Arabidopsis thaliana: one gene and its partners. The protein of the gene in region 1 interacts with the protein of each later gene in a pairwise test. Each region holds a gene or a part of one and is shown in the gene's direction. Other genes may lie near its edges. The genes, in order: AT2G29180, ARFA1D, SUB and PRK3.

Evidence for each region.
Region 2: the proteins of AT2G29180 (region 1) and ARFA1D interact in a protein complementation assay, tested with the Arabidopsis thaliana proteins (one large-scale study listed by BioGRID).
Region 3: the proteins of AT2G29180 (region 1) and SUB interact in a protein complementation assay, tested with the Arabidopsis thaliana proteins (one large-scale study listed by BioGRID).
Region 4: the proteins of AT2G29180 (region 1) and PRK3 interact in a protein complementation assay, tested with the Arabidopsis thaliana proteins (one large-scale study listed by BioGRID).

Annotation. Positions count from the first base shown.
Region 1 is NC_003071.7:12,539,446-12,545,181, forward strand, and holds AT2G29180 (uncharacterized protein), read left to right. Parts: upstream 1-3,487; 5' UTR 3,488-3,635; coding exon 3,636-3,965; intron 3,966-4,077; coding exon 4,078-4,257; 3' UTR 4,258-4,390; downstream 4,391-5,736. Other genes in the region: AT2G29170 (NAD(P)-binding Rossmann-fold superfamily protein), read right to left, coding at 2,419-2,650, 2,744-2,835; PUM2 (pumilio 2), read right to left, coding at 4,815-4,861, 5,047-5,221, 5,307-5,501, 5,580-5,690.
Region 2 is NC_003070.9:26,561,512-26,568,501, reverse strand, and holds ARFA1D (Ras-related small GTP-binding family protein), read left to right. Parts: upstream 1-2,690; 5' UTR 2,691-2,816; exon of another isoform or gene 2,817-3,340; 5' UTR 3,341-3,349; coding exon 3,350-3,497; intron 3,498-3,591; coding exon 3,592-3,662; intron 3,663-3,742; coding exon 3,743-3,862; intron 3,863-3,949; coding exon 3,950-4,068; intron 4,069-4,145; coding exon 4,146-4,227; intron 4,228-4,334; coding exon 4,335-4,340; 3' UTR 4,341-4,784; downstream 4,785-6,990. Other genes in the region: AT1G70500 (Pectin lyase-like superfamily protein), read left to right, coding at 1-24, 144-272, 378-548, 639-659, 751-958, 1,057-1,138, 1,215-1,323, 1,406-1,522 and 1 more; AT1G70480 (OBP32pep, putative (DUF220)), read right to left, coding at 4,894-5,313, 5,392-5,535, 5,613-5,735, 5,825-5,983, 6,082-6,252. UniProt on the Arabidopsis thaliana protein: GTP-binding protein involved in protein trafficking; may modulate vesicle budding and uncoating within the Golgi apparatus.
Region 3 is NC_003070.9:3,719,033-3,728,828, forward strand, and holds SUB (Leucine-rich repeat protein kinase family protein), read left to right. Parts: upstream 1-3,675; 5' UTR 3,676-4,102; coding exon 4,103-4,193; intron 4,194-4,536; exon of another isoform or gene 4,537-4,570; coding exon 4,571-4,700; intron 4,701-4,797; coding exon 4,798-4,869; intron 4,870-5,034; coding exon 5,035-5,100; intron 5,101-5,191; coding exon 5,192-5,263; intron 5,264-5,346; coding exon 5,347-5,418; intron 5,419-5,497; coding exon 5,498-5,569; intron 5,570-5,643; coding exon 5,644-5,709; intron 5,710-5,806; coding exon 5,807-5,872; intron 5,873-5,955; coding exon 5,956-6,449; intron 6,450-6,545; coding exon 6,546-6,904; intron 6,905-6,994; coding exon 6,995-7,266; intron 7,267-7,339; coding exon 7,340-7,478; intron 7,479-7,561; coding exon 7,562-7,677; intron 7,678-7,813; coding exon 7,814-7,970; intron 7,971-8,083; coding exon 8,084-8,146; 3' UTR 8,147-8,418; downstream 8,419-9,796. Other genes in the region: AT1G11125 (uncharacterized protein), read left to right, coding at 1-611; AT1G11145 (hypothetical protein (DUF674)), read right to left, coding at 8,500-8,604, 8,680-9,012, 9,084-9,134. UniProt on the Arabidopsis thaliana protein: Regulates the expression of transcription factors that define the cell fates.
Region 4 is NC_003074.8:14,951,520-14,959,237, forward strand, and holds PRK3 (Leucine-rich repeat protein kinase family protein), read left to right. Parts: upstream 1-2,843; 5' UTR 2,844-3,067; coding exon 3,068-4,400; intron 4,401-4,489; coding exon 4,490-5,058; 3' UTR 5,059-5,512; downstream 5,513-7,718. UniProt on the Arabidopsis thaliana protein: Receptor-like kinase involved in the control of pollen germination and pollen tube polar growth. Can phosphorylate ROPGEF1 in vitro.

The DNA of each region.
Region 1 (5,736 bases):
AACTTTGAACTCTCAAAGTTGTTAAGGATCGGACAACACAGATTTTACTCTGTTTTGTCTTACTCTATATTTCACTCTGTTTTTATAAAACGAAAACCACACACTTTTATTACATATACAAACTGTATTTATAGGTTTACATGACACACTTTGACTAAGGGACACGTCTCTAGAAGACAACCTAATGTAGAGACACATACACACATGTAACTGTTTTGTAGTTAACAATTATATTTGTATCTCTTCGATGTGTGATACGAATATATATAAACCAGTTACTTCACTATATAATATATCTCTTCTAAAATAAGATGATGACTTGATCACTTCCAACACTCCTCCTTGATCATGGCTTCATCGTTACGTCTAGCTCTTCTCGTAGAACTTCGAACCTTGATGTGATAAAGAGTTCCGCCTCGGTCGTTGATTGAGCAACGTTCTTCTGTTTGCTAGAATTCCAACAAAATGCACCTGATCCAGAAGTAAAGACATAGCCACTTGTATTTTTCTTGTCCTCAACTGATCTGCTCCAATTGCTTGGTCTCTCCACAACTTGCCACGTCTTGTTCTTTTCTATCATCATCAACTCTTCTCTCATGTCTTCTATCCACTTCACGTCATTCATTGCTCCCTCCAAATTTTGATCTATTTGAGCGTTTAGATCATTCCCTCCTCCTTGTTCTTCTTTTTCTTTGAATGCCGCATACACTTCTTCTCTAGATTTTTTCCAACGAATTGGAAAACTTCTATCCATCATCTTGATGTCCAAGATCTTCTTTCCTTTTAAGTCTTGAATCACACACTTGTTGTCTTCAAAGATGACTCGATATCCGTTGGATATCATTTGAGAGACACTAAGCAAATTTCTTGCTAGTTCGGGTACATAAAGTACATCTTTGATGACATGATCTCCTTTGTTTGTGGATACTCTTATATCTCCTCTGCCTTCAGACACGACCTTTCGACCATTACCAATCCTTATGGTAATTTTCTTGTTGCGGTCCAAAGTGATGAAGTGTCTAACATCTTTAGACATGTGATTGGTACATCCGCTATCTACCAACCACGTTTCTTCTCCAATTGTTGAGATCTCTTTTTCTTCAACAGCACTAAAGAGAATATGACACTCATCTTCTTCTTCATCTTCTGATTCTTCACTACTTAGATGTGCTCTTTCACCTTTTTTAAGTTTCCAATCTCTGGCTATGTGTCCTGGCTTGTCGCACACATAGCATCTTCTTTCATAGCTTCCACCTCTTTGTGAAATGCTTTCACTCTTCTTTCTGAAACAGTCTACCTCATTGTGATTGTTCCTCTTACACACGCTGCACCACATGTTGGTCTTCCCATGGCGATTTTTGTTTGCTTGTTTTCTGCTCTTGAGCCAAGCTTTTCTCCATAAAACGCACCCTCATTGATACGTTCTTCTCGGAGACTCAAGCGCTTCTCATGCGCATTCAAAGTACCTATCATCTCTGTCATAGAGAAAGTTGATAGATCCTTTGTTTGTTCAAGGACCGCAACGATGCTATCAAACTGTTGCGGTAAGGAGATAAGAACCTTTTGAACCAATTGGTAATCGGTTTTCTCTTCACCATGAACTCTTAGTTGATTACTCATATTAATCAACTTGGTTGTGAAATCATTTATGTTTTCACTCTCCTCCATCTTCAGATTCTCATATTCTCTTCTCAAGGTCTGAAGATTAATCATCTTTACTTGTGAACTTCCTTGGAACTCCATCTATTCTCTTGCGCTTGATGCCGGAGCGATTCTCGGAAATATTGAATCAGAAACTGCACTTTGAAGAATCTGAAGAGCCATCATATCCTTCATCACTTGATCATCACGCTCTCTAGTTAACGCCGGTGAGTTTTCAGACGACGAACTCAACGTAATTCCATTTTCGATAACATCCCACAACTTCCTTGTTTTCAAGATGGTTATCATCTTGATTTTCCAAAAGCCATACGATTCACCATTGAAGATTGGAATAACTTGCTGCATTGTTGTCTCCATAGCTCTGATACCATGTAGAACTTTGAACTCTCAAAGTTGTTAAGGATCGGACAACACAGATTTTACTCTGTTTTGTCTTACTCTATATTTCACTCTGTTTTTATAAAACGAAAACCACACACTTTTATTACATATACAAACTGTATTTATAGGTTTACATGACACACTTTGACTAAGGGACACGTCTCTAGAAGACAACCTAATGTAGAGACACATACACACATGTAACTGTTTTGTAGTTAACAATTATATTTGTATCTCTTCGATGTGTGATACGAATATATATAAACCAGTTACTTCACTATATAATATATCTCTTCTAAAATAAGATGATGACTTGATCACTTCCAACAAATACACAACAAAAAAATCACTTGATCTTGCTCAAAACCTTATGCATTATGCTCTTATACATAAACTTACAAGGATGTTGAGTTTTCCTTGGAAGATAGAGGCAACGTTTTCCATGAGTTTCTCTCGTTGGTCACGAGAAGAAACGTCGCATACAGAAGTGGTGACCTCAAACCCTTTAGCTTGCCATTCACGTACGCATTCTTGAAGCTGAGTTTCGTTTCTAGCACATGTGTGGACTCTTGCTCCTAACATGGCTAGTTCCTCCACCACAGCTTCCCTATTCATAACACAGTTGTATACATATTGACACGTGCAAATATGTAATATGACATATTAATGTATTCAATATTGGATTAGTAGGGGGACTGACCCGAGGCCTTTGGAGCCACCGGTAACGAGAGCGGTCATGCCTCCAAGGCTCCATCTACATTTGTCTCTCAAGTTTTCTTCTGCTTTAGCCATTTCTGGATACTATTTTCTTCAATGAAGGTCACATATTTAAGGCCAAGAGGTGGAAGACTAGTCGTGAGGGTGGCCAAAGATACTTTTACGTGAATTGTTTAACTTTGTCCTTTGAAACCCCTGTCTGAATGTCTTAGCCACCTCTGATTATGAGCCACAGACCCAAAGATATTTTCTTGGAGATCTGAATTTATGGTTGAGAAAAATTCATAATGAATGAATGAATGATAATAATGAGTAATGACGTTCGTACACAGTAAGGCCTTTTGATGTTTTTCTTAGGTTACTCAAAATAATGGGCCTCGATTAAGGGTTAAGCCCCAACTACATGGGATCGACTCATGTTTCATTGTTTGAGAAAAACTAAAGACCCCATGTAACATGGGTTGAGCTCTGTTCTGCTCTAGCCATTGTTGTGTAATGATGTATTTTGATGAGAAATGATAATGAAAAATGGCTATTTATGATGAATTAATGATACGAGGCTATGAGATTGTTTGAAGAAATTGAGGAAAGCTAACGTATCTCTTGACGTTGTGACTGTTGTGGTGGGTAGAAAAATTAGAGATCAAAGTAAACAATCTTAAGACTGTAGTTTAGTGATGATGGCGTAACTAATGATGCATAATCAAAAACTAATAGAAATATAAGGCCCACGAAAATAATATATTGGGCTTTTCTTGGCCCATCAATAATCTGTTCTCAATCTCAAGAAAACATGAACCGTTGGATGTAACCAAACAGAAGTGGGTTATGTCCAGAATCTGAAGAGATCAGAGAGTGTGGGAGTGGACGGAAAGATGTCTGCGACAACAACACCATCTCTATCTCTTTCAAATTTCAGACCAAGATTCCAAACTCCAGTTAAAGGCCACCATATATCTCCACTCTCTTGGTCTGTTTCAAGAAGAAAGATCTTGTCTTTTAGGGTTCTTCGTCTTCACCAAGAAAAAACCCAACTATGGAGAGTCTCTGCAACTCCGGAAGAAATTTCCCAAGAGATCGTTTCTTCTGATTCATCTTCTTCTTCTGGAGCAGTTGTGTCTAGTGGTGGACAAGATGGTGTTGCTTTGATTATACAAGTGCTTCTCTTTGTTGCATTTCTTGCTCTCACGGTTCTCACCATTGGTGTAAGTGTTATCCACAAAACCAATCTTATCCATAAACTATGTCAAATCAAAATACAGAACCAAACCTGAAGCCCGGTTTGTGAGTCTCTAAACCGGTTTTATTTCATTACAGGTTGTGTACATTGGAGTGACTGAGTTTCTTGGGAAGAGGGAGAGAGAGAAGTTTGAGAAAGACGAGGCAGCAAAGAAGTCTAAGAAAGGTGGGAAGAAGAAGGCAATGAGAGCCAGAGCTGGACCAAGAGGTTTTGGTCAGAAGATTGAAGATGATGACATCGACATTGATCTTGAGTGATTTTGTGTGTAGTAGAGAGACAAAGATTGATTTTGTTTGTAATGTTGCTCAGTGATTGTCACATCTATGATATGTTTCTTGTGTACCAAGCAACTTGATGGTCGATATAACAAAAATATTGCAATATTACAGAAACGAAAGAGTTACTAGTGAAATAGGAAACAAGAGTTTGATGAAACAAATTACATAGATGGAGAAAAAACTCTAAACACTAGGATTGTCCTAAAAGCATGAACATATTCTCACTTCTACACATTTGGCAATGAAAAAGCCATTCTCTTTCGTGTAAAGGAAACCCTAAAATCCTCACCATACCTCAGCCCACCTTTACACCATTCTCTGCATATTTCCTCTCTTACTCATCAGCCTAAAGTGGGATGTTTGGTTCTATGTATAGAAAAACCGTAAGCAACTACACAATTTTACAGATTTGCAGAGAAAACAAAGCTCTCCTTCACAATTTTCCCGCAGATTATTTCCGGTTTAGATTTTACCTAATTCTCAAAACGCTATGGCAGAGCCATCCACCCTAGTTAAGCTGTACAACACTTGCGGCCTTACGCCATCTGAGGCTGGGTTAGGGACTGCAAAGCCATCCTCCTCTCTGTATATGAGAAAAAACCCACTTAGAGACATTGACACGCAATATATTGTCTTTCTTTCTCCAATCCTTATAGAAGTCTCTTCAATCAAGTAAGATGATACAAATAAAACGAAGTGAAGACAATTTGAAAGGTTTATAGCAGGTAAAGGTCGAAACTTTGGAGCCAAAGAACATATTAAACATACCTCCAGCAGCAACGAGTTTTTCAACACGAGCAACGATATGCTTTCCATAAGTGTATTTCTTTAAAGCATTGAGATGCACTTTAATACGACCAAGGATCAGCTCACGCTGTTGGTCATCACATGTCTCTAAAACTTTTTGCACTACATAGTTGGCAAACTGATCCTTCATCATCGCCTAAATACAAAAGATGAAGAAGCTTATGAGCTAATAGTTTCTTTATTTTCTCCAACAATCATCTGAAAGTATGTGTTTGACAAACCTGAAGAGGCTCGTTTTCATCAGTTGTGCCCAGCATCTCATTTACCAGAAATTCCCGTTCCTCTGGCCCTCCAAAAGTCAAACATTTCTCAACAACGTTTGAAGCAAACTTCTGTTGGCTCATCTGAACAATCTTCCCCGCTAATTCCTTGATAATCACAGTACGCTCATCAGGCTTTCCGTGTTCCAATACATGCTGTCAACAAAACGTGTATTAGTTTTTAAGCAACCTATACAAAATAACCAGTTGTAGTATAACTCTTTTTTAACAAACCTGAATAACATAGTTTCCATACTGATCTTGGGCCAGCATACTAATAGTTGACATGATTTCATCCATAACCTTACTCTGAGTATCAGGGTCATGGCAGTGCTCCAATACCCTCTGCAACATAAGACGAGAAGTGTTTTACTTAGAAGCATAAGATCAA
Region 2 (6,990 bases), on another chromosome or scaffold:
GATGGAGTTTCTGATGATACTCAGGTGCGTTATGCTCGAATCGGTTTAAGAAATTCATGATAATGCTGGTGGAATAGACACACAAAACCACCATATATATATATTTTAATTATCAACTAGTGAAAAGTTTCTCTTATAACCAGGCATTTATAAGAGCTTGGACCATGGCCTGCTCTGCACCAAACTCTGTTTTATTGGTTCCACAAGGACGTAGCTATTTAGTAAATGCGACGAAATTCGATGGTCCATGTCAAGAAAAATTGATCATTCAGGTAATCTTTTAACTTCTTAATTCCTGTTACACGTTAAGCTACAACAACATGTTACCATTTATTGTCTTATGCATTTTTATTTTTTTTTAATTTTGATTTTGATAGATTGATGGAACAATCATAGCACCAGATGAGCCTAGCCAATGGGACCCGAAATTCCCAAGGAATTGGCTTCAATTTTCCAAACTCCAAGGAGTTGTATTCCAAGGGAATGGAGTTATAGATGGTTCTGGTACCAAATGGTGGGCTGCTTCTTGCAAGAAGAACAAGTCTAACGTAAGTATCTTCTTTACATAAAGTGGACTTTCTTCTAATCAATCATGAAGTAGAAATCTGACACATATCTTTCTTGTTTTTCTTTTGTAGCCTTGCGTAGGCGCACCAACGGTCTAAGTTTTTTCCCTTTTGTGTTCATCGACCATTAGACTTATCATTTATGTTTGATTTTGCTTATAAGAAAGTCTTTACTTTTATACAGGCTCTAACTATATATTCAAGTTCAAATGTGTATGTGAGAGGCTTAACTATCCGGAACAGCCAACAGATGCACTTGATCATACAACGGTCAACTACAGTTCGAATCTCTAGAGTTATGGTCACATCTCCAGGAGACAGTCCCAACACTGATGGAATTCATATAACCGCATCTACCGATGTTGTAGTCCAAGACAGTAAAATCAGCACAGGTTCTTCACCAAAAACTTCTATTTAACTCAAAACACTATCATGGTAATTATAATATTAAACTCAAAATGTTATAGCTGACACTTCAACTTGAAAACAGGAGATGATTGTGTCTCGATTGTGAATGGAAGCGCCAAGATAAAGATGAAGAGGATCTACTGTGGACCAGGACATGGAATCAGGTAAACCATCTCTAACCATAAAAAGAAATGAGACACATATATTATTATTGATTGCAAATAATTTCTTGTTCTGTAGTATTGGAAGTCTTGGACAAGGACATTCGAAAGGAACCGTCACTGCAGTTGTGTTGGAAACTGCGTTCTTAAAGAACACAACTAATGGTCTAAGAATCAAGACATGGCAGGTAAAATCTCAATTCTATTGATCTTTGCTTTCCTTCCAAAGAGTTTTCAGGATTGATTGAAAGATGAAACTCTTTAAAACAGGGTGGTAATGGTTACGTAAAGGGTGTACGTTTCGAGAACGTAGTGATGCAGGACGTTGCGAATCCGATTATAATCGATCAATTCTACTGTGATTCACCATCAACTTGTCAAAACCAGGTTTTAATTCTTTCACATAACCATTGACTTATCAACAAACCTCAAGAAAGAAACTTAATCTTTTGATTCCTATTTCTTTGCAGACATCGGCGGTTCACATATCCGAGATAATGTACAGGAACATAACCGGAACCACGAAAAGCTCAAAAGCCATCAACTTCAAGTGTAGTGACGCAGTCCCTTGCAGCCACATTGTCCTCAACAATATCAACTTGGAAGGCAATGATGGAAAAGTAGAAGCATATTGTAACTCTGCTGAAGGGTTTGGTTATGGTGTAGTTCATCCTTCTGCGGATTGTCTGTATTCGCATGACGACAAGAGCTTAAACCAAACTGATCAGTATTTGGCAGAAACTATTATGGTCGAAAAAGAAACTGAAAATGCTCATGATGAGCTTTAAGGTGATCACATATTTTGACGGTCGTTGTAGTGAGGAATGTGCACGTTATATTTAGTTGTAATTCATCTTTAGCAACTGACCTTATATATATAGCTTGTTAATGAAGCATATACAATGAGATTGAAAAGCATTGTAGTGTTTATAAATTGATTATAATTAAGGTAAAGATTAATATTTTTGTATAAAAAATGAATGCTTATTTGGTAGTTTGTAGCATTTGCTCATCTCTCTATGTTTTGTTATGATCGTTAAGGGTTGGCAGCAAAACCAGACCCAAATGTTTAAATTTTTAAGCTAATACTAAACCGGAATTGTCTCTCAATTGATTAATTTTATCATTTTGAAAATAAATCTTTTAAATGATTTTGTGGCTAACGTTTCCCAAAGTTAACCAAACCAGACAAACAAAATTTCATTAAAAATATCATTAATAGATGTAGATATGTAATCATATTATATATATTAAAATTATTTTAATAATTATAAAATTTATCAAAATTGATTGAAATGACGATTTCTTATTGGTCAGACAACATCAACAAATAACGAAATTTTCACTGGAGATGAAGTAGCACTTAAGAAAAGAGTATTGCTCACGTGTTAAGTTTTAATTGGTTAGCTCGCGAACACCTGCACACTTGGTCATAGAAGATTCGAAGAGGGTAATTCCGTCAATTACAAATGGCAATTTCGTTAATTGGCGTGAGAAACGACGAATAAACCGGTACCCCTCTCCCTTATAAAATTGCTCTCCACCACTTCCCATTTCGGCGTCATCGCGTTTCTCTTAAGCTTCTCTCACATTTCTCTTTCAAATTTCTTCGAGTCTCTCTCGCTCTCTCCGTTTCTTCGCGGTCTCTCTCTCTCAGATCTCTCCGAAACATTCTTCGTAGGTACGCTTTGATCTAAGATCTGTGCTCATACATTCTCAATTTAGCGTAGATCTGTATGTGTTCTGCATTTCTCGTTTCTTGTGAATTTTGATGGTTTTGGAATCGTCGTGATTGATTTCGTTGAGGTTGATCTTGCTCATGAATGGATAATGCGATTTTATTTTTAAGATGTGTATATATGTCGACGTTTCTGATTACGATCTGATAGTGTGGATCTGTTGAATTTTCTATTCACTTTCGTTTTCCGTCGTTGTGATTGTATCTGATAGCTTCTGAGATGTTGAAGATCTGTATCAGAGAGATTATGATATCTCGGGACGTTTGATTCTCTGTTTGGATCGGCCTGATCTCGTTGAAATTTGATGTTTGTGAGTGACGATTTTGGTATTGATCAGGTTCTTAGAGGATATAAGAATTGAATTTGGCATTATAGATGCATAATTTAGGATTTCTGAGATGAAAATCGCGTGATATAGAATGTGTATGAGGTTTTTGATATTAGACTTTGTTGTGTTTGTTTGCAGTGAAGCAAAATGGGGTTGAGTTTCGCCAAGCTGTTTAGCAGGCTTTTTGCCAAGAAGGAGATGCGAATTCTGATGGTTGGTCTTGATGCTGCTGGTAAGACCACAATCTTGTACAAGCTCAAGCTCGGAGAGATTGTCACCACCATCCCTACTATTGGTAAAGAAGCTTCACACCTTAGTACTGGTTTTTAAATTGTGATGATGGTATAAAATCTAGGATCGATTAGTGATATGCTAAATTCTATCAACAGGTTTCAATGTGGAAACTGTGGAATACAAGAACATTAGTTTCACCGTGTGGGATGTCGGGGGTCAGGACAAGGTATGGAGTCTCTGTACTGCTTATTGTTTGATGAAGGAACTTTTCACCCAAATAAACTGACTTTTTGGCTTCTTTTTCAGATCCGTCCCTTGTGGAGACACTACTTCCAGAACACTCAAGGTCTAATCTTTGTTGTTGATAGCAATGACAGAGACAGAGTTGTTGAGGCTCGAGATGAACTCCACAGGATGCTGAATGAGGTAAATATCCAGTGCTATAGAGAAAGAGTTCTTCTTCATAGTTTTGTTAGTTTGAAAATCCTTTACTTACCAACTCTTTTATTGCAGGACGAGCTGCGTGATGCTGTGTTGCTTGTGTTTGCCAACAAGCAAGATCTTCCAAATGCTATGAACGCTGCTGAAATCACAGATAAGCTTGGCCTTCACTCCCTCCGTCAGCGTCATTGGTAAATAAACATCCTTATAAGTTTCAAAAGTCAAACAATTTCTGTTCGATACTGATGTGTGTTTTTGCTCGCTACAGGTATATCCAGAGCACATGTGCCACTTCAGGTGAAGGGCTTTATGAAGGTCTGGACTGGCTCTCCAACAACATCGCTGGCAAGGTAACATAACTACATAAGTTTCTTCAAAAACACACAAATCTAACGAGCTGGTTTCTTTTTATTCTGCGATGCTTATATCTTTACCTCGTGTTGCTCTTCTTGCACAGGCATGATGAGGGAGAAATTGCGTTGCATCGAGATGATTCTGTCTGCTGTGTTGGGATCTCTCTCTGTCTTGATGCAAGAGAGATTATAAATATTATCTGAACCTTTTTGCTTTTTTGGGTATGTGAATGTTTCTTATTGTGCAAGTAGATGGTCTTGTACCTAAAAATTTACTAGAAGAACCCTTTTAAATAGCTTTCGTGTATTGTGCCTGGATTAATATGATTGATTGTTTTGCTTTCTTGTTTTTGCGTATCCTATTTTCACGTCTGCATCGTTTTCATCACAGAAATATCTTTCTTTCTTTACCAAAATAAATGAATTAGAAATTTTGTATATTTGAAAATTCATATCACTATTGGTCATTGAGTCATGGTTGTAATGGTCATGAGTCATTGAGTCATGGTTGTAAACTTCTTCAACAAGGAATAGATTCCCACATTTATATGCCAGTGTATCTTATGAAAACAAATATTATATTATGTTCACATATTGCTGGGTGATCCAAAAATCCTCAAGATATCTATTATCCCAGAATCATGGACTGTGTGAGTCTGTGACTTAACACAAATCATTGCGTCGTCTCCTTGATGTTCTTCTATGTGCAGACCATCTTTCTTTTATATCTCCAGGTGTGCCAATCCGTTGCTCATCGGGCGAGTGACCATCCTCCATTACTCCAGCTGCACGGATCCTGGCGGTCTCAGCCAACAAGTCATGGATAAGCATCTCTGTCGTCTTAGCCGTGATTCCTCTGAGATACCAAGAAATGGGCGGAGGTGGAACAATCGCTGGCTGTATTAGCTGGTCCAGCGTTACCTTAGATCCGATCCTCCCTTTACCTCCAGTGCACCTGTTATACTCCTCCAGCGTTTTCGGTTTCAAACGATCGCACATATGTTCATCCACAAACAAAGGCTTTACTTGCCAGCTTCCTTCGAATCTCTTCATGAATCCACTTTTCACTTGCTTGAATTTCATCTGCAACACCCATTTAAATCCCCTTTCACGAACCATTCAAGAAACTTGAGACTTTTGTTATAATCGTAGAGGTCTTACAGAGTGATCTGCCCGATCCTGATCCACCAAGACATGAACTGAGATTGTTCCTGACCACCAGAGAAATCTCCACAAAGCTGCTTGTTCAACTTCCACCACTTGCCTTAACCCGTCATCTACCAATACTTTCCGCGACATAACCTCCTGTAATTCCGAGGCCAATGAATCACAGGAGCTTAAAACTGTAACAGAGAGAACAAGATAATCTATAAGAAACGTACCTTGATATTCTTGAAGACTCTTCTATTGTCAGGGTCAATTACAATGTTATAGACTGCATCAGGAGGTAAACCAACATTCACCTCGGCTTTAAGATTGCAAAGCGATCCTTTTGGAATACCCACCTGTAAAGAAATCTTGTTATTATTTATCATATAACAAGATTCTCAAAGACTCTGACAAAACCATGTTGTAAAGTTCATCTCTTGCTCACCTTAACGACTGGGATCTGATCAGTCCACGAAGGGTTTTCCCTCCAACAATCTAACTGTTTCTCCAGATCAATTTGCATGGAGATCGATGAGTTTCCTTTATCTTGCCTCCATGAAGAACCAATCCCATGCTTATCATCTGTCAAATTCTTCAGCTGGGACTGTGACAAAGAGAACAAAATGCTTCCTTTTTCAGCTCCTCTAAAGATCAAAAACATCACAAGGTATTGAAAAGCAATGTGTGGAATCAGAGCATGACCTTAAGACGAGTTTGGAGTTTCTGGGAAAATCCAACGAATCGAGAGAGTGCAGGATCAAACACACTTGAGACCACATTTCCCTTGTTTCTCTCTGTGTCTGATCCCGGATTGCCCATTTCTGACCTGCACAGTGTATAAGGCAATTGAAGTAAAGCCGCAAAGTTAAACATTTTTAAGATTTCACTAAACTAAAGGAAAGCAAAAAGCTTTACTAACGAAGAAACACAGCCCAATAAAGCACCTGAACAATCTGTAAAATCACTATCAGATCCAGCCAGAGCAGAGAATTAATTTCTGCAGAGCCTTTAAGAAAGAGTTTTGTTCCACCCGACAATCCTCACCAAAATCGAGGACCCAGACCAGATCTTACAATAGCGATCGACAATGTCTAAATCGTATGGAAGCTTTATGTTGGTTTTGTGTCACACAAAGAAAGAACCATGTGATACACGCCTAAACACGTTATTCCATGGAAGAAGAAGACGAAATTATCAATAGCTTTGAATCGAGATGCGACGGATTCTAGAGTGGCCACATTTCTTCTCTTTTCTGGTCTTGGACGAAAGAGACCATTGAGGAACACGATTGCCACGTGTCGTTTTTTAGCTGGTCTTAGCGCGGAAAAATTAAGCTAACGTTGAAATCCTCGCCACTCTTTAGAAACCTGCGTGCCGTTTTTAGCTTACTGTGAAAACTGCGTCCCGTTTGTAAGATATTTGTTTTTTTAACGTACCTTTTTGATTTCACTAGCTTGGACCAAGTTCTTTTCTCAAGAAGTTATTATGATTCTAAAAGATTGTATTGAGTGCAAATGTGGTAGAAATGGAATGAGTATACAAAGTTCACGAGTATCACTGGCGTGAAAAAATTTCATTGATATGTTCTACTTTTTGACCCCATCAAATTAT
Region 3 (9,796 bases), on another chromosome or scaffold:
AAGAAGAAGAGGAGAAGAAACCCGGGATTGTTGTCGACGTTGCTCAAGAACCGGTTTTGACCAAGCCCAGTTTGGTTGAACCGGAAAAAGGATCGGAGGTTTCGGAGAATTGTAGTTTAAGCGAGAGTTTGCTTTCGATCGTGAATAAGTACGACGAGGAAGAAGTGAAGCAGATGAAATCTCATGTAGTGAGACAGAGATCTCCGGCGAAATCTCGGAACCGGGTCATGGTTAGTTATCCAAACCGGAGAACCGATATGTCTCCACGTAAGAGAAACAACGAAGAAGAAGCTGGCTCGGTGAGGCTGGTTCCGTCGGCTACGGGTACGAGAGACTCGACTGAAAGATCCGAGAGAAGGTCTAGATCGCCGGCGATGAACAGGTCCGTCATGATGGGCCCAACTCGGAGTCAACAGAGTACAGACAGTTGTGGAGCAATGAGGAGACAAAGCCAGTCTCCGGGTCGGGTCAGACTCAATCCGAATATGAACGGGTCGGATCAAGAGTGTAATCATCACAAGTGGCCGGGTTCTATTGGAAATTACAATTCTGCCCCTAACGACTCGTTTGAGAACCCTCTTGTTTCATTAGAGTGTTTCATCTTCCTATGAGATAATGTATCTTATTACCGAATTATCGCCGGAATTTACAATTTCGAAGTTATTTGATCTTAATCAGTTTTCACATGCTTCGCCAGTTCAGAATCTGTTTGGTTGTGGATTTTGAAAAATACTAAAATGTTTTTCTGTTTTTGATTATAAAAAATGAGAAATTAAATTGTATGATGTGTGAGTAGGGTGGCAAAAGATTTGCTTCCGTGACACCAATTATTATATATTTTCTGACAGTCAAAATCAGACGCAAGCAAAGTCACGTAACTTTGACCCCAAAAAGAAAGTTACCATCATACACTAAATTCAATTCACTATGATCGTCCGAACCAACAAATTTCAAATAATGTATCATGAATATTTGAGTCTTCATCTTTTATACTCAAATAGGCTAAACTTATTAGTAATTTATTTATTGTATTATCGTCTAGAACTAATCCACGATTTGAATATGCTGTGTGACTTATAAAATCAAAGAAAATACTTAGTTAACATAAGTGTATTGGTTTAGTTTTTTCCTATATTAATAAACCAATACTCTTCTTTATTTCAATCAAAATGTAGTTCTTTTTTTTTTTTTACATCAAAATGTAGTTCATTTATAATTGGTTTAAGACTTGATTCATAGTGTAAAAACAAAATAGTTATTTAGTTTTACATGAACCATTAGTAGGTTCTAGTTTGTGTATAAAATAGTTTATTTGTTCTACAGCCTTACTTAACTATCTTAGTTTATATTCAATCGTGTAAAACAAAACTGGGATCCTTCCTTTTTGGTTACCATAGGTATGGAAGTAAAAGTATTTAGGTGTTGTTTAAAAAGTACAAAAATTCGATTTTGTGGTTTGTCTATTAGTAAATCATTCAAACGTTTTTTCTTTTTTTTTGATAGCAATTTTATTATTATTCTTTTTACTTTTATAGGCTCATCTTTTGGAGAGAGCATTGTAAAGATTATGCTTTTCTTAACGCTTTCTTGTTTGTCCTTTTGCACCCCACATCACACGTTAACTAATTTATTGGATGAATGTTGAATAATTTCCGCCGAGAGAAAAAAAAACAGGCTTCAATAGTTCTGTATCATACTTCAAACTAATTTAGAAAGTTTGAGTGTATCATACTTGTGTATATTGGAAAATGAAAATGGAACGAGACAATTCAATAGTTCTGATCAATTTAATATTTTCAAAACGATCAAGTGCATAACAGCAAATTGTATCCAAGTATCGTCTAACAAATTCTTTTAAGTTCTTTTTTTGACTTTTCATAATCTATAGAACTTTTTCTTTGAAGCTTCTTGATGTAAAATGGTAGGGCGGAAAAAGCTAGGGTGATGTAAAACCAAAACTTGAACCAAAATTCGTGTAGATACGTAACTAGATTTGATTTAAATAAATAAAACATTCGTTATGTGCCTTGGATCCTCTGGCTAACGGGTGACCATAAAGTAGTGTTGCATTCTTTAATTTTGTTTCGCCTTTTGCGTAATGAGAGACCATATTATAAAATAAAGCCTAACTTTACAATATCTGTATTTTTTCCTCGACACTCTTTTTTAAGAGACCAATAGTTTGAATTCATTATCATGCATCTTCCAATCTCATAACTAATTTGGTATGCATGTATAAGTGCTACAATCATTATTATATGGGGTTTCTGATTTTTTGAAGTACAAGAATCAAAATGAATCCAACCTGATTGGTGTAGTTTTGGGTCGAGTTCGGTCGAAACAAAAATTTGATTCGGTATTATTTATTTGATTTTGGTTCGGTTTATTATGGTTGGCACTTGGCATATTGGTTTTGAAAAAAAAAAATGTTATCATGTACGATTTTTTTTGGGTGCAAAAAAGCATCATGTACGATAGTTTTCTACTTTTCTTCAAAGATTGAAAGTAACCGTTGCAATCTCATTGCATTATTAGGCCTACGAGAGGTATCTTCTTTCAAGTGGGCTTTACCATTACACTATTGACCAAGTTTGGGCCACATTTGGTTTGAATAGCCCATAAGAATGTGGTTTTTTTTTTTTAACTAGTCGCAACTTATTATCGTGTATGGTGTGAACTTGATTGATTTTGACAAGCCAAAAAAATCGATTGATAATTAATTGATCTCGACAAAATAAAAATCTAATATCAACACATAAGCTCACCAAGCATGTTTTATTCTTTATTGATCATACAATGTATGTTTGCTGTTATTATTCGGGTTGCAAATAATTTATGTGAATATCAGAACTTCAGAAGTAACTCCTACCAAAAAAGGAACTTGAGAAGTAATCACATATGAATATCGAAGTTACTCTCATCTCAAATTATGCAATGATGGCATTCCATTAAATTACTACTATTGAATTGTACACAAATCCTCCATCACATCAACCAACAAACAAAGAATAATACAAATTAAGAATATATTCCAAAGAAATTGATAAATAGTGATTGTTAGTTGTAACTGTAAACACAAAACCAGAATTCTTAATTATTAATAGAAAAACAAAGGTTTCGAATGGTAACCAAAATGCACCGTGCAATCATACATATAACATTAGTTAGTTATTTTTAGAATATATTGAAAAGATAATTATTGTATAATTACTAAGTATATTCAATTTAAAGTCGTAAGAAAAAACCCTTTATTGGCTCTAATTGTTTAAAAACATATATTAGGATTCACTAAGATGTATAATTGAAATCAATTTCCAAACCATGTAAAAGTACTAGTTTTCTCAAATAGTTTGTTGCTATTAGTTTGTTACTAAAACTAATTCACACATTTTTATCACCAAAAGAGCAAAAATGGACGTGGGATGAATATGATGATATTTTTTTTGACCTTGTTGTAGGGTCTCTCACTCTCTTCTTCCATTAAAGAATTCTCAGAGCTTTTCTTACTTCAACTGTTTTCTTGGCCCATCTCACTGAAATAAGTGTGATAAACTCTGCCTGTTACATTATTTGGATTTTAATAGGTGAAGTAACGGAATATGTAATCTACATCAAAATAATATTCACTTCTATCTCTCTACCTTATGGCATTAGAAAAATCCAATTATTACATGAAAGGAAACTATAGTAATTAGATGAAGCATAGAAGCGACAATTAAAAGACATAAAGAGAGACAAGTCTTGGCAAGTTTTCTCTGTTTCACACTTTGGAGACGAAACCTTAAAGGCTTAAAACTGAGAAAAACAAAGCCGTTGGCTTTTGTAAGCCGCTCGTTCTTCGAGACAAAACACACTACACTCTTTCTCTCTCACTCACTCTTCATCTCTTTTCTTCTTTCTCTCTCTCCTAAAAATCCGACGAAATTATGATTCACTTTACCTTTTAATCAGGAATATCCCTGTTTCACCCTTCTTCTTCTTCTTCTTCTTCTTCTTCCTCGTGTTTTTTTTCCATAACATTCCCTCTGAATCTTCGTTTTTTATTGGAAAGAAACAATCTAATCCAAGTTCAAGGGTTTTCTCATCTTCAGTGGCTGAAGTTATGAGCTTTACAAGATGGGAAGTGTTCTTTGGTCTCTCTGTTTTAGCCTTGACAATGCCTTTCTCAGCTGGAGTTACTAATCTACGAGATGGTAATAATCTTTCTCTGCAAAGTTTTTTTTATTTGGATTTTGCTTTGACTCTCCTTCTTTTGGTTTAGTGAACACTCTAGATTTTTTTTAGACTTGTGTCTAGTGAAAATGACTTACATCAGTTTTAGGGTAAACTAGGTAAGCAATATAGCTGTTTGGGAAGCTCCAGATTGGCAAAGTTCTATGATTTTGAGGCTACCTCAAAAACCCTAAAAAGTTTAGGTTTTTGACACATAAGCTCTTGTTAGGGTTTTAGTTCAAGACCAAGAAATTTGTTCTTATTGTTCTTCATTAAATGGTTATCATAAGAAAGATTCTTTAATCTCTAGAAATTTTACTTTTTGATGTGTTTGTCTGTTGTTTAATAACTTCTGCAGTTTCGGCGATTAATAACTTGTATATCACTTTGGGAGCACCATCTCTACATCATTGGCTTGCTTTTGGAGGAGACCCTTGTGGAGAAAAGTGGCAAGGTGTGGTGTGTGACTCCTCAAACATCACAGAAATGTATACTTCCTCTTCTGCTCTTGTAACTCTTTGTTATGGTTTGCTTTGAGTCACCAATTCAGGTTCTAACCACGTGAATTATTGTTGTTGGCTGCAGAAGGATACCTGGCATGAAGGTAGGTGGAGGCTTAAGTGATACTCTGGCTGATTTTTCATCTATCCAAGTCATGTAAGCAAAGCTTCTTGTCTTGTTTTCTTTCATCTTCATCTTTTGTATGAGGCTTCTTGCTATGTGAAGAACATGCAAGATGTTGTTACCATTGACTATAAGGTTTGGTTATAATCTTGAATTGCTTTGTGATACTTTTTCTCTCTTCTTTGTTTGAGTGGACAGGGACTTCAGTAGCAATCATATTTCAGGGACAATTCCGCAGGCTTTGCCTTCTTCCATCCGAAACCTGTGCGTTTGAGAATTGACTATGTGTATGGCAATACTTATGTTTCCAACAGTTAAAAGACACTTCATGTTTGGTTTCATTTTCTTGTTTCAGATCTCTCTCAAGCAATCGCTTCACTGGGAACATTCCCTTTACATTGTCCTTTCTATCCGATTTGTCTGAACTGTAAGTCTTTATTAATGTAGATACCGTTTCTTGCATCTGCGGTTTTTCCTCTGTTTGAAGCAGACTCTTTCTTTTCCCTTCAGGTCATTGGGAAGCAATCTTCTATCAGGAGAGATACCAGATTACTTTCAGCAGCTATCAAAACTGACAAAACTGTATATTTCCTCCTCACTAAGTCTCATTTTGTATCCTCCCATCAGCGTCTTTCATTTATACATTAAGTTTCTAATGCAGGGACTTATCGTCTAACATACTGGAGGGGCATTTACCTTCTTCCATGGGAGACTTAGCTTCTCTTAAGATATTGTAAGTGCACATATATGAAACCGTATACAAACATTGTTATCATTGCTTTTATATGTGATGTGGTCGGACTGTAGGTATTTGCAGGACAACAAGCTCACAGGAACACTTGATGTTATAGAGGATCTTTTCTTAACCGATTTGTAATCGTTTTTCACCTTGCATACTCTTTGTTCTTGACTCTCCAACCATTAAGCCAACTTCAGTATCTCACTATGGCTTTTCATATTTTTGATTCAGGAATGTAGAAAACAACTTATTCTCGGGACCTATACCGCCAAATCTATTGAAAATTCCAAACTTCAAGTAAGTATTACTAAAAGAAAACTTGAATGTTTTTTTTTTCCTTTTCTTTAGCCATTCATGTTACATTGTCATTATAACCGCAGAAAAGATGGAACTCCGTTCAATACATCGATTATAACACCACCGCCTCCGCCTGTGGTTGATCCTCCTCCCGCTACTCACCGTGCTCCTCCTGTTCCCCGTATCCCTCCTGTTTCTGGTGTTCCCCCAGCACCTTTTGCTCCTTTTGCTCCACTGCAACCACAACAACATCCACCACCATCACCACCTCTGGTCTGGTCACCACCTTCTTCTGATAATGGAGGAGGAGATCCCTGGAACTCTGTGTCAGGGCAACCTACCTTGCAAATATCACCTCCTTCAGGTTCAGGATCAGGAAAATTCTGGTCCACTCAAAGAATCATTCTAGTAGTTTCTTCAGTGGCCATAATTGTTCTTGTATCCGGTTTGTGTGTTACACTTTGGAGATGTTGCAGAAGTAAAATATATAACCGATATTACAGTGGAGCTCGTAAAGATTTACAACGACCATACTTCAATAAGCCTCCATCTCAACCAACCCCCACTATGGGAAAAGGTACACTGATTCTTTTCCTTCCAAGAAAAGAAAAGAAACTTGTGCTTTGGCTCATTACCTAACGGCAAACTGCTGTGGTGTTTTCTTTTGTTGCAGTTTCTCGGGAGCCTATGGTTAAGCCTTTCGATGGATATGGAGCTGGAGACAGGAAATATGGGTATCCAATGCCACAGCGGGCTGAAGAGAGCCGGAGAGCAATGCCTCCTACTTCATATTATAATAAGGATGTTAATACACCTCAAAAGCCGCTGCAACAACCACCGAGGCAGTTCCAGTCCAATGATACTGCTTCAAAGAGAGCGGCTCATTTCCCCCCGGGCTTGAATTCCTCATCTTCTGCTACTGTTTTCACCATTGCTTCACTTCAGCAATACACAAATAATTTCTCAGAAGAGAATATAATCGGGGAAGGGTCGATTGGTAATGTCTACAGAGCTGAGCTTCGTCATGGAAAGGTGTGACACTTTCCTCTTATTTGTCATTTGGTCTTACAGTATTTTATGCTGTGCATTCTTATTTACGTCTTGACACGTTGTGATCTATAGTTTCTTGCGGTGAAGAAGCTGAGCAATACCATCAACAGAACACAGAGTGACGGCGAATTCCTCAATCTAGTCTCCAATGTGTTGAAGCTTAAACGCGGTCATATATTGGAGCTTCTTGGTTACTGTAACGAGTTTGGTCAAAGGTTACTTGTGTATGAGTACTGTCCTAATGGATCACTTCAAGATGCACTACATTTGGATCGCAAGTTGCACAAGAAGCTCACTTGGAATGTACGTATAAATATTGCATTAGGAGCTTCAAAGGCATTGCAGTAAGTTAAAGAACCTCAACATGTTACGCCAATCTATATTTGGAACATATAGGATCTTAGAGTTTGGTTTCAGGTTTCTTCATGAGGTATGTCAACCGCCGGTTGTTCACCAGAATTTCAAGTCTTCCAAGGTTCTTCTTGATGGAAAGCTCTCAGTACGTGTTGCAGACAGCGGTTTGGCTTATATGTTACCACCACGCCCAACGAGTCAGGTAAATTTGTCATCTTATTTTGAAGATCCCAAACATAAGAGTGAGTGTTGTAAAGGATATGATGTTTGCTTATAAAATTGTAGATGGCGGGTTATGCCGCTCCTGAGGTTGAGTATGGAAGCTACACTTGTCAGAGCGACGTATTTAGCCTTGGGGTTGTAATGTTAGAACTGCTCACTGGACGCAGACCATTTGACAGGTTAGCTACTCTAAAGAGACAACTAATAGAAGCCATAAAAGAGTCTGAACTCAAAAGTCAACATGTTCACTTATGTTTCTTATGCAAAATCACTGTACTACACTATCTCAAGACAAAACCCTGTTTTTTTTTGCAGGACAAGGCCGAGGGGACATCAAACACTAGCTCAGTGGGCGATTCCTCGGCTTCATGACATCGATGCGTTGACAAGAATGGTTGATCCGTCATTACACGGAGCGTATCCAATGAAATCATTGTCACGTTTTGCAGATATCATATCACGTTCACTGCAGGTAAACTTAACTTCATTCATCACTTAACTAGATGAGAAAGCAATGTCAAACACGTGACATCAGAATATTAACTAACCCTTTTGACTTCTGTGCATGCTTATCTTTGTCTGTAGATGGAACCAGGATTTAGACCGCCGATATCAGAAATAGTCCAAGATCTTCAACATATGATCTAAGATACACAACCTTGGACTAAGACGCAGAAGCAATAGTTTATTGTCAGATTCTTGTTCTTTGTCCTTTGATGAATGAAAGTATTTCTTTTGTATTATAATAACACTTTATGTATGTTGTTGGCTGTATGAAATGAGCTATGGGATCATCATTATGTAACCCCAATCCCATTACCGGCTCAAACATTATTCACCAACCTGATCATGTATTTAGATTCTATTTTCTGAAAAGGATAAACATTTTTTGAATCAAAAGACATTAAAATTCAAGAACAAAAGGTTGTACTTAACAGTAGTGTAAAAGAGAAGGTAACTTGTTCAACTAGCACTGTAGACAACAAAACCTAAACTTCAAATCAATCTGCTCCACAGAGGGCATGTGATTGATGCTTTAGAGTCGTTTCTCTGAAAGAAAGCTCCCGAAAGCCGTAGTCAAGGCAGTGGATGTCACGAATGAGGCTCTTAGTAAACCTATGGCCTGGATTAGTGTCAGATTCAAAAAAAAATATCAGGAAAGAATAGTAATATAGATATACATGTGTTTTGCCAATGTTGATTTCATGCTCAAAAATATCGTCCAAGTTCACATCAAACTTCTTCTTTACGCAAATAGTAAGATCATCTGAGACAATGTATGTTGCCCCTCTCTTAACTAACCCATTGCTACCATGAGGTGTCGACTGAGAACTACCGTCACTGTTTAAATAACTGACCCCAAGCAACGGTTTCTGCAAACTATATTGCCAAGGAAGCATACATGTGTTAGTAGATGCATCTGTGCCTCCCCTAGAGCTCAAGTCCTTCAAGCTTCTACAAAAGTTGCCAATGCATACTAGGTCGATATTGCTTCCAGTGATTTCCCATACAGACTCCAAAGGGATAGCAAGGAAAATGAAAAGTAGATCCACAAAAAGTCGTGTCCGCTTTCAGCGTCAAGAACCTTCATGTCCTGCTTCCTAGCAAACAGAGTGAGTCCCTGCTTCACCTCCATCTTGCGCGGGTAGCTTTGGCATGTCATGCCAACGTGTCATACCACAAGAGCTATGCTTCTTCATCATCATCAAATTGTGGAATCTCTGATCTATTTATGCCATTACGTTTTCGCACTCTCCGATCTATTTATGAAATTTTTGAATCCAGGTTCTATCTCTGCTTCATTGCTTGCTCTCTTCGGAAACTCCTTTCACTGATGTCTTTTTGAAATTGGGCCATCTAATTTTTTTGCATATAGGATGATCACTACTTGCCATAATTGCTCAAATGGCTATAGAAAATGTAAATTCTTACTGATGGAAAAATATAAACGAGAATTAAATGAGGGATCTAGAGAATTATGGGGGTGTTAAAATAGCAAATCTAATATTATTTAATTATAAATTTTAAAAGGTCTAATAAAATCTAATAAAATCTAGTGTTATTGAAAGCTTGAAAATCTACTCAAAATTTTCATGTCCTTGAAAACTTAAGGATTAGATTTTTAATGATTGTAAGAGATTTTTAAATCTTATGGCTTTAGGTGGCATTGTGGTTTTGAATGGTTTCCTTAAATCCACCCAAAATCATAAAAACATAGAAAAACTCAATTTACCTCAAATCACTCAAAATATAAGATTGAATACACCCCCTTAAATGCTTGATTTTGTTCCTTTTATC
Region 4 (7,718 bases), on another chromosome or scaffold:
AGTTAGTAGTTCAACCAGCTTTGAATTATTATGAACGGTATTTTCAAAAAGTCCAGTCCAAACTGATAGATGTTTGGGATGGAGAAATATATGGCGTCGACTACAGCAAGATGATGCTGCTTGACTTCAGTTATTACTGATGTCACTTCCATGTTTCACAACATTGTGTAATATGTTGCAAACAAATTATGGTCTTCAGCCAACATTGAATATAAGTATTGAAGAAAGAGTTGCGATGTTTCTACGAATATGTGGACACAATCAAGTTCAGAGAGACGATGGTTTAAGATTTGGACGAAATAAAGAGATTGTGCAGAGAAAGTTTAGAGAAGTTCTTACGGCAACTGAATTATTAGCATGTGAATATATTAGAACTCCGAAAAGACAAGAATTTTATCGAGTTCCGAAGATATTGGCTATATTTTAGTGGGTTCGTTGGAGCTAATGATGGGACTCATGTATGCTTAAAAGTAAAGTTTGAGTTATAGAGAATGTATTGGAATCGACCCGATAATGCATCATTGAACATCATGGCAATATGTCATTTGAATATGTTATTCACATATATTTGGAATGGAGCACCAGGTTCATGCCACTATACAGCTATTCTGCAAATAGCACAACAAAGTGATTCCGGTTCCCTTTGCCTCTTTCAGAGAAATATTACCTGGTTGATTCTGGCTACCCAAATAAATAAGGATTTTTAGCTCTTTATAGATCGTCACGAAATCGAGTTGTGAGATATCATATGTCTCAATTCTATTATGGTCCTCCTTCTAGAAACAAACATGAACTGTATTGTACTTTTTATGATGAAATTAGTCAACGCATTTAACAATATGTATGTTACAAAATTAAATTTATATTTTGATCAATTTTTGTATTAGTGGTTTATAAATATCTGTTATTGTTTATTTATTAACAAAAAAATAATTAATTATTAATATATACATATATATTATTCTATACCGCTTATTTTGTACATATATAGTTTTTTCACCAATCAAATATTATTCTATACCGCTTATTTTGTACAAATCGCACTTGTCCCGCAAATATATTTCTCTCGCACGTACCGCAGTTGAACCTTACCCACTATAATAACGCTTTCCCCGCACAACAAAAACCACGGTTACCATTCGAACCCTAAATTCATTCAACATCCTTTTTTGCTTTTTTAACACATCACATCATCTTCTCTTTCTTCCATATCATCATTTAACATCTACTTAATTTTTCAATACTACAATAGTTTTGTTTAATAAAATTTAACATTTTATCTTACATTATTATTTTCCAATTTTTTATTTTCTTAAATATATTTAAATTTTTGTGATTGCATATTAATAATATTTTTTGATAAATTAAGTTTGAATATCAACTAAATTAAATTAAATTAACAAAAAGTTGACATAGTTATTATAAGATAATAAAAAAATTATGATAGAAATTGTGTTTTTTATGTGTCTGAATCAAATGAACCAAGTTTTCTTTTATAGAGTTAAAAAGTTATGAATTTTCATATAAATGATTTGTTACATAATAATTGATTTTAGATACATAAGGTGAGATAAAAATTTCAATTGCCAATAACAATATAACAAGTGTCATGTCAATAATTTTTTTTTTAAGAAAAAATAATAGAAAACATGCGCGAATGTGTGAAACACACCTTCCCATAAAGTGATGAACCGTGGCATGCGTGGCCCAAAAAAAAACATGTTGGATAGATTCAACATCCAAAAATCCACATTGGTTTTTTTCAGTTTTCAACACCTTTATTTGAATAAATTAACAGTTAAAACTTTTTTCAACATGTTCAATGGAGTTGAAATTTCAACAGGTTCAGTGCAAGTAGTGTAAGTATAAATGTATAAAGATTTAACATAAATCTGCTTGATAAATAGAGCCTCTAGAATGGTGAGAAAACGATAAGACTCGTTAACAAAATGTTGACAAAATTAGTAAGAGAACTAGTTTTCAAGAACAAGGCTATACGATCAGAGGGTTTTACATATTCATGGACACATCACTTGCATCAATGTATATGATGTGACTAAAGATCATGAGTCTAGGGAAGATTCTAATGAGTTTAAGATCGAGAGCTTTTTAGCATTTTCATGAAATTCAGGGCAAAGGAAGAGAGAAAAGAGCAAACACTAAGTTCCTTTCTTCTAGCGACGCAAGGAAATCATGTTCTGGATTAAATCTCAGTAACACCTTAGTAGGAACCAAAATTAAAGTGGTGGTGCATTGAGCGGATTGTTATACTTGTTTTCTGATTTTATTTTTGATGACATTTTTTGTATATAAGAACCATAATTTATTACTGAAAAACTAGCTTGAACATGTTACATGTATATGTTGATCATTCCATATACTAATGTCTAGTTAGTTTTTCTCTTTAAAACAAAAACGTGTAGTTAATAACTTGATATTGAAATTCAATATGATCGTAATGTCTACTTCATGTTCTTTTTCGAGAAAGGAAATAGTAATCAAATTAAACTAAACATCAAAAATTTAAGCAAAGAAAAAGAATAAATACATCCATGGTTTTTAGAGATCACTCATATGATTATGTGATATCTACGATTTGTATGTAAAAATGTTAATAATAATAAAAGAAACTATATGCAAACTGTTACTTGACGCACAAAAGAAACCCGACAAATGTGGTGAAAACAAGGTCAAAACCTTTAAAAAACCATGGTCGTAAGAAATCCTCCAAGAAAGTCTCTGAGCTCTCAATTCTTTTCAATTGAAAAAGACAATCTTTAATTTAGGAAAATCATAAAAATCTATTTTTAGTAAGTGGAAGCCTAAACTTTACCAGCTAATTCCCTCAAAGACAAGAAAACATTTCTCACTTTCCTTGCGGATCCTCAAAAACAATGTCCAAACTTTTGAACCATAAACAAAATCCAAACAAAAAAACATTCCTAGACAAAGAGACAACGCCATACATCAATATTTTTAACATTATCTTGGTTATTAGATTGTTAGGAGAGACCAAAACAACAACAAGAACAACAAGAACAGCAGTTCCTCTACTTCTCCTTAACCCATGACTGCTGTTCTATTTCTCTGCTTCCTTCTCATCTGTTTTTCCTTCACCCCTTCTCTACAAAACGTTAGTGAATCGGAACCGCTCGTGCGGTTCAAGCGCTCGGTGAATATAACTAAAGGAGACTTGAATTCATGGAGAACAGGAACCGATCCTTGCAATGGCAAATGGTTTGGGATCTATTGCCAAAAGGGTCAAACAGTTTCGGGCATTCACGTCACCCGGCTTGGTCTCTCCGGGACCATCAACATTGAGGATTTAAAAGATCTCCCAAATCTAAGAACGATCAGGCTTGACAACAATCTTCTCTCAGGTCCTCTCCCTCCTTTTTTCAAGCTACCTGGCTTGAAATCTCTTTTGCTCTCAAACAATAGCTTTTCTGGTGAGATTGCTGATGATTTCTTCAAAGAAACGCCACAACTCAAGCGGGTTTTTCTTGATAACAACCGGTTATCCGGAAAAATCCCCGCTTCTTTGATGCAACTCGCAGGTCTTGAGGAGCTTCACATGCAAGGAAACCAGTTCACTGGTGAGATACCTCCTCTTACAGATGGCAACAAGGTTTTGAAATCCCTTGACCTCTCCAACAATGATCTAGAGGGAGAGATCCCAATAACCATTTCCGACAGGAAGAATCTAGAGATGAAATTCGAAGGGAATCAGAGGCTTTGCGGGTCACCTCTGAATATAGAATGCGATGAGAAACCTTCATCTACAGGGTCAGGGAATGAGAAGAATAACACTGCAAAAGCTATCTTTATGGTCATCTTGTTTCTATTGATATTCTTGTTTGTGGTAGCTATTATTACAAGATGGAAGAAGAAGAGGCAACCCGAGTTCCGGATGCTCGGTAAAGACCACCTAAGCGACCAAGAGAGCGTGGAAGTTCGTGTACCGGACTCAATAAAGAAGCCTATCGACTCGAGCAAGAAGCGTAGTAACGCAGAAGGTTCCTCAAAGAAAGGTTCATCGCATAACGGAAAAGGTGCAGGAGGTGGTCCAGGAAGCGGAATGGGAGACATTATAATGGTAAACAGCGAGAAAGGCTCCTTTGGTTTACCTGATCTCATGAAGGCTGCAGCTGAGGTGCTAGGCAATGGTAGCCTTGGATCGGCCTACAAGGCGGTGATGGCCAACGGATTATCCGTGGTTGTGAAAAGGATTAGGGATATGAACAAACTTGCACGTGAAGCATTCGATACTGAGATGCAACGGTTCGGAAAACTCCGACACCCTAACGTTCTTACCCCTTTAGCTTATCACTATCGTCGAGAAGAGAAGCTTGTTGTCTCTGAATACATGCCTAAAAGCAGTCTACTCTACGTTTTGCACGGTACTACAACGCTTTTGCTTTTCTTGATTGATGTAGAAGCATATTTTACGATCTTTTTTAATATATATATATATATTTTTAATTTGCAGGAGATCGTGGGGTTTATCATTCGGAGCTAACTTGGGCAACAAGATTGAAGATCATACAAGGAGTGGCACGAGGAATGGACTTCTTGCATGAGGAGTTTGCGTCCTACGATCTTCCACATGGAAATCTCAAATCTAGCAACGTTCTACTAAGTGAAACCTATGAGCCATTGATTAGCGATTACGCGTTCCTCCCGCTTCTTCAGCCTAACAACGCCTCACAAGCTTTATTCGCGTTCAAATCCCCCGAGTTTGTACAAAACCAGCAGGTTTCACCAAAATCAGACGTCTATTGCCTTGGAATAATCGTTCTCGAGGTCATGACGGGGAAGTTCCCGTCTCAGTACCTAAATACTGGTAAAGGAGGGACGGATATAGTCGAATGGGTGCAATCTTCAATCGCACAACATAAAGAAGAAGAGCTTATAGATCCCGAGATTGCGAGTAATACTGATTCGATAAAACAAATGGTTGAATTGTTGCGGATCGGGGCTGCTTGTATCGCAAGTAACCCTAACGAGAGACAAAACATGAAGGAGATTGTTAGAAGGATAGAACGAGTAACACTTTGAGGAGATTTGAAAATGTAAACGCATGGAAAACGTTAGAGAGAAAGAAGCTTTTGGAATCTGTAGATTAAAAACAAACAAATGAGGAAAATGGTACGTTGCGTAAATAGGAATGACACATTCTTTTCCTCTGGCTAATTAAACTGAAACAAACGAGAAGGTATTGTTTGGTAACGAAAAAGTCCTTTTCTTTTTTGTGTTCATTAGGAAGAGGTGAGGAGCAAACCATTTTTTTGTTGTTGTTTCATAGATTTTTTTTGTTGATATTTTCCATTTTTCTTTGTCAAAAGACGTTATGTAAAATCATATTAGTAGTTTTATTTTCTTAAAGGAACTTCTGATGTATATAAGTCCATGTTTTTGTGTTATATAAGATGGATTTTTACGCAAAAGAACCATGAAAACTCCAATTTTGTTATAAACAGAGAAAGAAATAGAAGAAATGAGTGTGTTATTCCATTGAGATAAAGGGTTCTTTATATAGGAGTACAAGGAAAGGGTAAAACCCTAGAAACATCTAGATGATGGGCTTAGATGATGGGCCTTATAATGGGCATCCATCTTTATTCATAACACTCCCCCTGATGACCATTATAGTATCATAACTCGTAAAGTATTTGAAATGCTGCCTCATTAAAAACCTTACCAGGAAAACCCAATGGGAAAAACCATGGTTAAGGGAAAAAGAGTGCAACATACAATTACTCCCCCTTATGAGTATATTCGTCAGATCTTTGAGACGGCGTAATCCGATACGATAGACTAACTTCTTGAAAGTAGCAGTAGGTAGCGCTTTGGTGAATAAGTCAGCCAGATTATCATTCGAACGGATCTGTAGAACTCGTACATCGCCGCTCTTTTGTAGATCGTGTGTGTAGAAGAATTTTGGTAGGATGTGCTTTGTTCTATCGCCTTTGATGTATCCGTCTTTGAGTTGTGCGATGCATGCTGCATTGTCTTCGTACATAATTGTTGGAGTCTTTTTTTCCCTGCATATATACCACAGTCTTCTTGTATATGGTGAACTATGGATCTTAGCCATACACACTTGCGGCTAGCTTCATGAATTGGTAAAATCTCTGCATGATTAGAAGATGTGGCAGAGAATAAACAGTATTTGAGAATAAGTCTTCCAAATCTTCTCTTGAACAAATTTCTGGATAAAGTACAACGCCATTCTTCTGCTCATGAATCTTTTAGATGATTCATCTTGACCATCTTATTTATTTCTCTAAATATCATTAGTGTATAATATTCATTTGGATGATTGATAGAATTTCTTAATATTCATCAAGTGTATTATTTGCGTGTTCTTTAATGTCTCGTTAAAAACCTTGTCATAGAAAAATCATGTGGGATAAAAACTATGATAAGGAAAAAGGGTACATCCACGCATATCATTCAATCTCCCCCTCGGAAACATCTTCTTCAGGAGATGATTTTCAATCAAATACAATATCTCGTTGGAATTAATAACCATAATCTTAATGATCCAAATTATATGGTTTTCATATAGACTTATAAATATCATTATCTTGTGATATTTTATCATACATTATTGTCATCGTATTACTTATGATAACTCTGTAGGAGTTTTAATGATTTTCAAAACAAATATTAGTTTGATCAATATATTTTGACAAACTCAACATAAATATACATTTATATGATTATATGCCATGTTACATATTTCTTTTTATTCGATCGAGTAGAGTTTTAGAGAACATAATTCTCATATAATTAATCCTTCAGAGATTATATCTTTCAAGAATTTCATATAAATGTCATATCCAGTGTTCCGTCTCTTATTGCCAGATTTTAGATACTTAAAAAAAATTATTACATCCACCACAAGAGAATATATCTCTTCATAATACATTTCTTATCTTTGTGAAAATCTCATTAATTTCACTATTCTTTCACATAAAGAGTCATTTATTTTCCACTGGTTTTACACATCATGTGCATAGACTAGTAGTCCAAATATCTCTACTAGAGATTATAATTATATGTCTATTTCTTCTTTTCCATTTTTGGCTAATCATTACTTTGTGTACACTTTTCAATAGACTTTCTTTCATGATCCTCCTTTTTGTCCATAATATCAACTGCTCATAGCATGCAAATATATTACGACGTCGATTTGCTTTTGATTCCATTATATTTTGACATGACATAGCTAGCTAGATCTCTTCATTGTCAAGTACTTGAATGTTTCATTTGTCATGTTTATGTCTCTTTTAGAGATCATTCACTCTCTTCAAGAGATCATCAAAATATTTATTTCCTCAATTTGGTCATTTTTAATTTTGTGCTCCTTCACTTTTACGAGGATATTTATATTTGGAACCAAGGTCTATTACGCTTCATGCGATCTTAAGACTCAATAGCAGTTTGAAATTGGTCCTTACAGGACATTCATTATATTCTAGAGCATTTAATTTACAACTGGTATAAGTGACTTCATCACTTTATTTGGGTCAGCAAATGCGTCTGGCAATTACAACGCTAAATTCTGTAATTGAATTATCTTTTGGACTCTTAATATACATTCTTTACTCCGAGGATCATTGATAATTCATTTCTATTTATCTTTTTCACCAGCTGTATACATTCTCCCCCTTATGTTGGAATAGCTGACTATATAATATGATAGTCTTCAA